Danio rerio: one gene and its partners. The protein of the gene in region 2 interacts with the protein of the main gene of each other region in a pairwise test. Links are inferred from orthologs where the notes say so. Each region holds a gene or a part of one and is shown on either strand. Other genes may lie near its edges. The genes, in order: camk2d2, tnpo2a and exoc5.

What was found.
Region 1: the proteins of tnpo2a (region 2) and camk2d2 interact in binary tests that used the Homo sapiens proteins (3 or more experiments, as listed by UniProt). The two-hybrid records come from large-scale screens. The link is inferred for Danio rerio from reciprocal best matches to the Homo sapiens genes TNPO2 and CAMK2D.
Region 3: the proteins of tnpo2a (region 2) and exoc5 interact in binary tests that used the Homo sapiens proteins (3 or more experiments, as listed by UniProt). The two-hybrid records come from large-scale screens. The link is inferred for Danio rerio from reciprocal best matches to the Homo sapiens genes TNPO2 and EXOC5.

Annotation. Positions count from the first base shown.
Region 1 is NC_133176.1:15,576,012-15,579,667, forward strand, and holds part of camk2d2 (calcium/calmodulin-dependent protein kinase type II delta 2 chain), read right to left. Parts: intron 2,709-3,656; coding exon 2,614-2,708; intron 2,404-2,613; coding exon 2,281-2,403; intron 2,160-2,280; coding exon 2,076-2,159; intron 1,365-2,075; coding exon 1,322-1,364; exon of another isoform or gene 1,031-1,321; intron 1-1,030. UniProt on the Homo sapiens protein: Calcium/calmodulin-dependent protein kinase involved in the regulation of Ca(2+) homeostatis and excitation-contraction coupling (ECC) in heart by targeting ion channels, transporters and accessory proteins involved in Ca(2+) influx into the myocyte, Ca(2+) release from the sarcoplasmic reticulum (SR), SR Ca(2+) uptake and Na(+) and K(+) channel transport.
Region 2 is NC_133178.1:17,588,133-17,592,316, forward strand, and holds the start of tnpo2a (transportin-2), read left to right. Parts: upstream 1-1,255; 5' UTR 1,256-1,303; intron 1,304-3,505; 5' UTR 3,506-3,506; coding exon 3,507-3,605; intron 3,606-4,184. UniProt on the Homo sapiens protein: Probably functions in nuclear protein import as nuclear transport receptor. Serves as receptor for nuclear localization signals (NLS) in cargo substrates.
Region 3 is NC_133192.1:49,414,238-49,417,893, forward strand, and holds part of exoc5 (exocyst complex component 5), read right to left. Parts: intron 3,510-3,656; coding exon 3,315-3,509; intron 1,151-3,314; coding exon 1,086-1,150; intron 1-1,085. UniProt on the Homo sapiens protein: Component of the exocyst complex involved in the docking of exocytic vesicles with fusion sites on the plasma membrane.

The DNA of each region.
Region 1 (3,656 bases), on a different chromosome or scaffold from region 2:
ACTGCATTCAGACATTTGCGTTCCGCTGATCAGTTTTTATTAAAAGTTCCAAAGGCCCACCTCAACAGTAGGGGCAAAAGTGCTTTTGCCATATCAGGTCCTCGCCTCTGGAAAGCCCTGCCATTAGAACTAAAAAAGGCTTTGTCACTGCTTATTTTTTAGTCTAAAGTAAAGACTTATTTATTTTGTAGGTCTTTTGAAGCAAAAATCCTTCCCGTCAGGAGTAGGGGGGTGGGGGGATCAAAACGTTCCTGTTCTTAATCTTATTTAGTGTGGTCAACTGTGGTAGCATCTTATAATTAGGCAAAATTTCAATTAGTTTTTTGCTCTTTTTATTGTTACACTTTCTATGTTTTTTCCTTTTATGTGCCTATTGCTGTTACTGTTTTTATGCCCATATCGTCAGTTTATTTTTTCTCTGTAAAGCACTTTGTGCAGCCTTTTGGCAGTTGGAAATGTGCTATATAAATAAATTAAACACATTTGTCCTCGAAGAAAGAGTTGCTTTAGAATACAGATCATCACAAATTTAGTGCAGACAACCATACAGTTATGACCTTATCTATAACATATTGACAACTGTATTTTGCTTAGAGCTAGTAAATTCTACACCCTTAAATTATTATACCTGATTTGTAAAAGTAACATTGCAAAATGCACATAAACATATCCAGATGAACATGTAACCAGATAATGAGCAAGCATTCAAGATACTTGTTTCATTAGCAAGACAGTAAACATTTATTCTTCCAGTAAGTTAACATTATTTTTGTGATTACATTCATAAAGTACTTTTTGATTATTGTGGCATTAATATAGTTTAAACTAATGCAAATGTATTAGTTTAAAAATTATTTTATAGACATTGTACACAAAACGTGAGTTGACGATATGAATGTAATCTGTTTGATAACATGCAAACAAGGGTAATTAGTATCTCAGAGTAACAGGGAAGTGTGTCAAACAAGCAAACCAGTTCACTGGTTAGAGTAAAAACACATCCCCTTCTTATGTCCAATTAGACTCTTACCTCACGGGACCCACAGGACCCCCCCAAAAAGAGACAAAGCAACGATAAACAGGAAAGAAATGTTAAATAAAATGTCTGAAAAGTGGTAGTGTACCACCTCACTTCAAAACAGACTTGTTCCAAAAAATTAAATCAATAATAAACAGCAAATTAAACACAAAGCAAGTTATATGAGAAAAAAACTATAGCATTTTGAATCAAATTTACAGTATTTGTGCAGGAAAATAAAAACGGAGGGAGTTTATTGCAGCTGTAGAATTCAAACGTACAGTTCTGCAGAGCCAGACGTACCTGAGAAGTTTCTTGTGACCAGGAGAGTGGTCAGAATTGCACCCTAGTTGCAAAAAAAAAAAAGTTTTGGAAATGGAAGAAAAGGGGAAAAAACAAGAAGCAGGAGAGAGGTGAAAGAAAGAATAGCACAGAAGCAACAGCAGAGTGTCATCTCTTTTTTGTTTATTTGCAAGATGAAATACTTTTTCTAGTTTGAAACCTCTTATAATGACTTTTCATAAATACTTACAAAATGTAATTTAAGTATAATTAGCCAAAAAGCAATACAATAGTGTACTGAAATACTTTTAAAGCACAAATACCCTGGCCTTGTTTCAATCCATTTATATTTATTAACATGCATTCAAATGCATTATTTGTGATCGCTGTGATTTTGACAAAACCCCTGTCTCCTATTTAATCAAGCACTATATCACTTTTGCAGGAATGCTCATATGCATGACATGTCCCGATTCAGAACACTCACACTTGTCAAACGAACCGGGAAACAAGCCAGGACACGGTTCAGATAGCATAGTGTGAGTGCACCCTAAGCCCTGTCTGTGAAAGCAGGCCTTTGATTCATCCACTTGTAATTACATTGATGAAAATGCATATTAATACCTGGTGTAAACAGAGTCTCTGTGACTCGGATTTAGAGAAAAAGCAAGTGCACACACAATGGTGAAGCTCTGCGAAGTAAACTCTGAAGGTGTGGAGAAAGCTAAAGCTTGGTCAAAAGTAGAAAACTGTAAAAGATCAGTTAAAAACTAACCTTGAGTTTCCTTCTGGCGTTGAATTTCTTCAAGCACTCCACGGTTTCCTGTCTGTGCATCATTGAGGCAACAGTGGAGCGTTGCTGAAGGAAGAGAAAGAAGATAGAAAAATTAGTCATTAGTAAAGATTAAAACAGTCCTTTGTTGTACTGTGTATAGACAAGCTTGTTTACTAGTGTGTGTTTATGTGTTAAAAAAACATACGCAGATCCAGGGGTGTTTGAGGGCTTCAGCAGCTGTGATACGTTTAGAGGGATTGATAGTCAACATCTTATTAATCAGATCTTTAGCTTCAGGGGTCACGGTGTCCCACTCGGGAGAAGGAAACTACATTTGGAGATAAAACAACACAATTGAGCATAGTTTCATTATTTTGTATGAACATATATGCTGTGGAACCCAAGATATCATCAAGTTATCATCAGTGTTGCCCAATGGTTATCAACAGTCTCATCATATTCTGCATATGTAGCTCTAACAGTGTCTTCTTGTATAGTGTGAACACTTTGCAGGAGAAATCTTCAACTTCAGTCTTACATCATAGGCACCAGCCTTGATCTGCTGATAGAGGCGATGCTGGTCTTCATCCCAAAATGGCGGATATCCAACCAGCAGAATGTAGAGGATCACACCTGTGAGAACCAGAAAGCTCCTATTATGGCCACATTCAGAGGGGAAACTTCTTCACAGCAAATACTTCAAATAAATTCAGCTTTAAAATGAGTCTGATGAAATCAATAGTTTTTTTAGGTCATTACAGTCGGCATGAAATCAAAATGTACTCTTCTTATTTTTATGTGTACATAGTAGTGTTTGCTAAAACATTGCATCTGTGCAATTCATTATTTTGTACAAATTATTTTGCCCTTATAATGTTTTATCAAATACCATAACCATCTCTCCCCCTTGAAACAACTTTTTTTCACTTCTGGTCACATGGAATGCCTTTAGGGCGGGGCTATCAGGGCGTGTCCTATTTCTGCCCTGCTTTCGTCCATCTGTTGATCCTTCATTTTGTTAGCAACACCCATCTTCCAGCAATCCAATTATTTTCCAATTTTTCTCATTGTAGGATCGTTTTAATCAGATGTACGCCATGACATGGGAAAAAGAACATCTTAACTTCCCTTTCATTTGACTTCAAAGACAGTATATGCAAGAAATACTTTTGTGCAAATAAAAAAGAGACCTTCTCCGACTAATCATTCATCAACACAAGTTAGCATACAGTATATAGGCAGTAGAATGGCTACAGAAGCCAGTGTTACTGGTGGCACTGAGCTTCATTAACATATTTTGTTTTATTTTTATTTTTATTTATTTTATTTTATTATTTTACTTTAAAAAAAGGAATGACAGCGGAATGAACCGCCAACTTATCCAGCAAGTTTTTTTACGCAGCGGATGCCCTTCCAGCCGCAACCCATCTCTGGGAAACATCCCCACATACACACACACACACACTATGGACAATTTAGCCTACCCAATTCACCTGTACCACATGTCTTTGGACTGTGGGGGAACCCGGAGTACCCGGAGGAAACCCACGCGAAGGCATGGAGAACATGCAAACTCCACAC
Region 2 (4,184 bases):
GTATGTCTGATGATATTTTTTAATGAGCCTGTGCCTATAATGCCTATTGGTCAATCCTGCCCTGCATACCAGCAAGTTCAAAAAATTTCAACATTGTTATGGGAGCTAGCAATCGTCTCCCTCCTAAAAAAGTGTATCTTTCTTATCCGACAAAGACGTTTATAGGTCAATTTTGTTTTTCTAATTAAAAAAAAATAATTAGATTTGTTTTTTATTGAAAAAGTTGTTATATTGTCCCCTGTAATCTCTTATTGGATTAATATATTTTGACATTTGAGATGGGGAAAAATATGGTCTTTGCAACAAAAATAATTCTTCACTAGCAAGGTCAAAGTGTCTTAAATTAATCAACAAGTTTTATCATATTTTATCCAATTTTTGAAAAAGTTTCATTCTAAAATTGATGTAAAATGTTCATTTTAGCAATTTCATACTGAAATAGTTTTTTATTTAATTTGGAATTGTAATTATGCTGTACAATTTTGGAAACACATTAGCTCTTTTATTTATGATAATTTACAGCAAGATGTTTCTGTTACTTTTAAAGAAATTATTTTTGGTTATTATAAATCTGCCTGTATTAATGTTTGTTTTGTTATACATTTTATTTATTTTCTTTGTAAATTCCATATCCACAAATGCAAATTTACTAATGCCAAACCATATTTTCCCGTTTTTTTTTTTGCAGGAATTTTGTTAAAAATTACATTAAATTTCATTATCTAAAAAAAACAGCCAACAAAACTGTTTCATTTTGTAATCACTTTAAGTTATGTACTGTAATTGATTCTTAAATGTCTTACCCTCAAGTTTATATCATGTTCTTTATTTTCTTTCTTTCTCTCTTGTATCTTTTTCATGGATAGTGTAATTCATATTCTGTATTTTAAACATATATTGCTACAAACTTCTCAACTTTTTTTGCAAACACACACACACACACACACACACACACACACACACACACACACACACACACACACACACACACACACACACACACATATACCAAACATTTGGTTTGGTAAACCAAAATGAATTAGATTTTTTATGTCTATTTATTTATCTACTGTTTTTGCAGGTTTCGTCCTCCATACAAAAGAGTATAGAATCAATTTTTATCTAATCTAGTGACTCTAAGCTCTTTGTTCATAAAAAAGAGTCCCTCTCAGATTCGTGTATTTTTGAAACTGCCGACATGTCGTCACTTCCTCGTGGCGGCGGTCGTGCTGCGGAAGTGTTTGAAAGTGCCATTGCGCGAGACTAGCGCGAGCTGATAAGTAGGCCTCCACACGCGGCATGTGTAAGTGAACTCTTCTGAATTAAAAAAAATACTATATTTAAATATAAACGTGCAGTTTGTCTTAATAATGTCGCGTGGCATGGATTAAAACAAGTATAAACGCTAGTTCGCGGCCAACGCTTCACTTGTTGTGTGTGTACAATGATGTTTATGTAGGATTAACGTTAGCGATAGACGGCCGTTACTTGTTGCTTTAGGTTTCGAAGTTTCGCCTCATGTTTTTGTTTCTGTAACAAGTGTGTGATAAGTGTTTTACGCGTTTATAATGCTTTAACGTCGTGACCGATTGTTTTTGAGTTGCTCTCATGCATATGGTGAAAGACTAGGCCTCGGCATGATATGCACTCCTGACCATGTGCATTGCTTGATTGTTTCATGCTTTTATGCCTTCATCAACTGAATAACAATTGATAATTAAGTCCGACAAAGGCTAACAATTATAACCACAGGCTTTGTCATGTTAATTTCGGTTATTGTATCGAATCGCTGGAGATGCGTGTAACGTTATTTCTGTTAGCTCTTAATCACAAACAAAGAATCGGGTCAGTTATAAGTATGTATGTAATGTTTTAAGTATGTAACGTAACGTTACCAGATGTAACTCACAGATACGTTAATATCAGTTTCTGTGAAAGATTGAGACTATTAAACGCTTATTTTGGGCTAATCAAGGTACAGTCATTTTGAAATAAGTGTTGTGAGTAAAAGTATGTTTAAAGACGGATATATGAAATGTACAGAAGTATTATTAAATGGATAACTTTATTTTTAGTAATGTTATCCCTATATAATATACATAAAGTGAAAGTAGACTGAAAAACAAAATGCCTGAAATTGAAAGTAAAGTATCTGGAAACTATTCAAACTTTAAAAAACTGGCTTCCAGTGCATTTAATTTAATTGTGTAAACTTTTTATTGTATTAAAACAGTTGGTCAACTTAATCATGCCGTTTTCATCTTTTTGGTTTCAACTTTCATTGTTTAAATCATAATAAGTTAAGTGCAATCACTGCTTTAATCTAAACACTGATGTGCAGGACATGTAAAAGGCTATGGTTATGCGTAGTAGTCATTGTTTAATGACCCAACACTTTGAAACCAATTCACTTGCATACAAACTTTAAAAATAATTCTTTCAATTACTTTGTTGCTATCTTTTTAATCCATCCCTATATACATACATACATACATACATACATACATACATGCATATACACACACACACACACACACACACACAAAACATAAAAGTGTGTACTGAAAATGTCTGAAATTGTAGGTAAGGTATCTGGAAACTATTTGAAACTAAAAAAATAAAACTTGTTTGCAGTGTATTTAACTAAATTGTGTATCTGAAATACTTTTTTATTCTTTTAAAAAATATTTAGTTGATTAATCATGCCGTTTTGATCTTTTTGGTTTCAGCCGTCATTGTTTAAATCAAATAAATAGTTATATACTGCTAAATATATAAACTAAATATTAATCTAAACAGATTTGCCATACAATGAAAAGGCCATGTTTATGAGTACACTGTTAAACCCTGGAGTCAGCTTTATCAAATTAAATGAGTGTAGTTAATTTAAAATAGACTTAAAGTTAATTCTACTCATTTGTAATGAGATTTGAACTCAAGGTTGAAGGTAATAAGTTAATACACCTCATTATTTCAACTTAAATGAAGTTCACAGTACTCTTAAAGATTAGTTATCTCGAATAGTTTGTAGCAATCGGTTTCCTCAAACGGTTTGAGTTGCCTTAACTTATTGGGTTGTACAGATCTCGGTTAGTTTGAGTTCTCCATTTATTGGGTTTTACTGTGCTCAAATTGCTTCATTTACTCAAATGGATTACGTTCACAGTACTCATTAGGATTAGTTTTTTAACTTAAACCATTTGAGGAAATAGTGTAGTAGTCAGTGTTTTATGACCAAACACTTTTAACTAATTCACCTACATACAAACTTAAAATAATTCTTTCAATTGCTTTGTTGTTCTTTTTTTGTTAGTCACTCGGGATGTAAGCACACTGCATAAATGTAAATTATTTGTTAGTCCATCTTTTCTGCAAAAAAGAATACAGTTTCAGTAAGTAATCTGCAAGATGATAGATGCGGTTTACAAAGGTTTGGCAATGGATTCATAAGAGGAAGTAAATTGTGAAGGCATGAGGAATGTAATTGTTTGTGGTTTGTGTGCAGGATGGAGTGGCAGCCGGATGAACAAGGCCTCCAGCAGGTCCTGCAGCTCCTCAGAGACTCTCAGTCTCCAAACACAGCCACGCAGAGAGCTGTGCAGCAGGTATCCACACAACACATCACAGAATTACCTGCTATTTACAGAAATCAAGTGTTTAAAGGGACAATATTGATATTCTCACATGTATTGGTATAATAAAGAAACTTGGTCTACCAGTGTTTAAATGCACTTAAAGGGATAGTTCACCCAAAAATGAACAAGCTGACAAAGCCGCCAAAACAGCCCTAACAGGAAAGCTGAAGGAGTGCAAAATCCCACCTTCGGATCTTAAGCCACTATTAAAAGGATATATTCTCAACAAATGGCAATCAGAATGGGATCAGTGCCCAGAAAATAAACTTTTTGAAATTCAACCTGAAATAGGAAAAAAATCTAATTTATTTTTTAAGTCAAGACACGATGAGATTGTGTATAGAAGAGGCACACAAGACTCACACATGAATTTACTCAAAGGAGAAGAACCACCAAAATGCCTTTATTGCAACAGAAACCAAACAGTTAAACATATTCTTGTGGAATGCCCCATTTTTAATATCATCAGAAAACAAAATTTATCTGGAGAGACTTTAAAGGAAATATTTTTAAACGTGAATCCATCTAAAGTTGTAGAATTTTTATCAA
Region 3 (3,656 bases), on a different chromosome or scaffold from region 2:
TAACGATTTGTTGCCAATACCCAATCAGATATCCGCCATTGTAAATCTCCGCTTCTTTTTTCAATTGGTACTTTATATAATGACCTCCAACATCCATTTGGAGTGGTGCTAATTTCGACAAAATATCTCAAAGATTTTAAATTAAAAAATTTAACACAAAGACAATAGAATGACTTTTTAGGTATTTCGTCAAAGAAACCAAGTTGCGGTGTTTTAAATGAAAGTAATCTAGCATCATCCTCCTGCCAATCTTCTAAATTTACTTTTACACTAATCCTGGGATATTGCAGTCTTAATTAATTCTGTTTGCAATGGTACTACAGGAAACAATTTTTGAAGAGAGAGAGGGAGAGAGAAAAAAATCAAGTAAAAAAATACTGATAGGAACTATTTTGACATTGGCAAGTGACAATGCTAACTGCACAGAATTTACAAGTGAAAAACTTTACATGTATGCAATAGCATTAATGTAGAGCAGTGTTTCTGAACCATGTTCCTAGAGGACCACCAGCTCTGCACATTTTCAATGTCTCCTAAACTAAACACCCCTAATTCACATCATTAGCCGAAACTGGAAAAGGTGTAATGGGTGTGACAGACAAAGGAGACATCCAAAACATGCAGTGATGGTGGTCCACCAGAAACGTGGTTGAGAAACACAGATGTTGAGCATGGCATGACATAAATTTTGTTGTACTTAGCCCAATTTTTATACTCTACATGCTCAGTTTACACACACTGATTTTTTTCCATCACTTTTTTCACAAGCTACTGAAGATACAGTAGCAACACTAGCCCAGACCATTGATTCACAGTTAAAACAGACTGAAATTATACTGAAATCTGCAACAATAAATACCCAACAATATTTTAGTGCTTTCATACGCACATACACTAACCATATAGTGTATACTTTGAAAAATAAATATTGCTTAAAGCTGCACAAATATGCTAATCAGCATGTGTATTAAAAACTGAGTTATACTTTGGCCATAAACATGTGTTGACAGTCACTGATGACTTCTTATGTGATAACTTTAACAACACACCAATCCTCCAATAAGGCCCATCTGCAGGTGACTTGCCTGTCAAATGGCAGCTCCTGAGCGATCAGGTGCAACTTCTGAATGATGTCTGCAGCTTCTTTTATCTGTGTAGGATGAGAACAGACTGTGGTGAGAGACAGAAAATGGTCACTACAGGACAGACATCTCAAAATATAAACAGGAGCCAGAGGCAGCACCCTTAAATCTGGCGATCAGCTTACGGTAAATCTGTCCCTCACCCTTCTCGTCCACTACAAGGATGATAAGAGTTCGGCTCAGCCTGGCACACCTGAACCTCATCAAACCTTAACTCCTGTCAGTCAGTCGCGGCCCAGCCAACACCTTACGCTCACTCTTGACTATTAAGAATTGACTATAGATAATCCCTCAGTAAATCACCTCCCATAATCTGTCCCCATAGGCAGGTAGGAGGTCTAGGCCAAAACAGAACCCCGACAAGATCCCCCCCAACCTCTCCCTTCAAGCCAGATGGACGAAGAGAAGAAAAAGGTGATGCGAAAGGCCCTGCCGTCCACATATCCTCTGTTCCCACTCTCCTTTTCCTGCCTGCCTCAGCTAACATCATTATTGTGCTCCCGTGAGGTGGATCCATCCCTTTTCCACTCTTCTCGCCGAGGTTTTCTAAGTATCTGTCCCCCAGCTAAGATTAGCTAAATCCCATGTAAGTGATGTAGCCGTCTCCCAGCAGTAGGGGGTTTTACCGGCGCTTGTCTCCTCGCTGCCTGGGCCCGGCCCTCCCTTTCACAGGGATTAACCCAGCCTTCGTTCCTTCCATTTCCCTTCCCTCCATTCCCCCCTCTCAGCTATTCACCGGCAGCTCCTCTCACTTCCCCTCTTTTCTCTTCTGGAGGCGTGCGCGTCTTGAGAAATATTGAAAAGTCTGGCGGGTATATTCCCACATGGCTCTCTGGAAGCATGTTGGTGGCCTTGTGCTAATAGCATCAGAAGATGTAAGACTTGCCACCCAGGGTTGGCCACATCATTACCGAGTAACTTGAGAGATTAACTTATAAAGTGGCATTTCCAATTAAGTTGGCGTACATCAACATCTAAGCAGGGCACATATATTAGCCTAAGGCATCCATTATATCACTGCTGCAAACTAAATTTCAGTAGCTTTGGCGGCAACTGTCGCACCCTTTACAACTTCACATTGGACAGCTGCCGGTAAAGTCCTGCTTTCACAAAATATCTGAACCCTGTGGATACATAGTCACAGTTACTCAACCGGATCTGGCCTATAATGTAATGTTTACTCGAGGTGCTTGATAACAAATAGTTGGTTACTGAACTAGTAAAGCTGCATTCACACTTCATAGGTGCCTATTGACTGGGGGCAAAACTGAAGTGGCTAGTGGGCTTTCTAATGGAACTGCTTGGGTAACGTTTGTGTGATAAACACTGTTTTCTTGATGCTAAAAATAAAAATTGTGGATGGGAAAGCACTAAATATGAATGGAATTACTACATAAAATGTTCAATTACAAATGTGAGCAAAAAACAGGTGCTCTGTAATTTCGCCTATTTATTTGCAGATCTAGTGATTGCTCCTACTGTATTAGCTGTTGCTCAAGAAAGTCGCTCTTCATTTGCATAAAATTAAGAGATTCTCAACGTTGTGTTGCCAACAGATGCTATAGCGTATGCAGCTGGAGATCGCCAGGAGTCACTAGCTGTCCACTGAAATGAATGGTAGCTGCTTTTTCACTGCATGTTGCTGGTAGTTTGAATGAGGCTTAAGGCAGATCATACCTAGTCAATTGTAAACTCTTTCTAAAAGTATTCAATAGTTGCAGTGTTGTTTTCAATTATATATTATTATAATGCATAAATTATGCTACAACAGGCCTCAAATGCACCATCACAAACATTCATGCTAAACAGCCACTAACAAGTCATTTTTTCACAATTTGCTGAATGTTAAATATGTATGCACATAGGTGTCAGCATCATCTGTCAGCAAATCTATCAGGTAAAGCATTAGCAATATGACACATTATCTTCAATCTCTTAATCAATACATCAGAGGTCTCTGTAAATATATATTCATGATATACAGAGTTTCATTTAAAGATTTTAACCTTAATCATGCAAATAGTTAGTACAGAATAGAATGTTTAACATTGTGTCCTTGCCCCCGTTTTTGAAATTAAACTGACTGCAACACTTTTTTTTTAACAAAAAAGGTTTTTTTGAATGTGTTTCTTGTTTGATATAGTAAAACTAGGCAGTCTGTCTGAATCTGACCTTTTCAGGATTGTTGAATACATCACTGCGCAGCTCTCCATCCAGGAACTCGTTAAAGTATGTCATAAGTCTCTGAGCCTCCACTGCCCTCTGTCTCGGGGTATTGACTCCTTCTAGCTGATCTCCCAGATGGCACACCTTAGTAGCCACATAGCTGATATGCTCATCCAACTCCTGGAAGTGCTGGAAGGCTACCTTTGAATCACAAGAAAGTGGAGGTTATACAGTGTACATGTACAGACACATTTACCTTTAGCCCTTTCACTTTCCCCTACACCTCAATACACACGTTCACTTGAAGGAGTGTCCAAATATCTCTTTTGCTTGGATGTATAGGGGTAG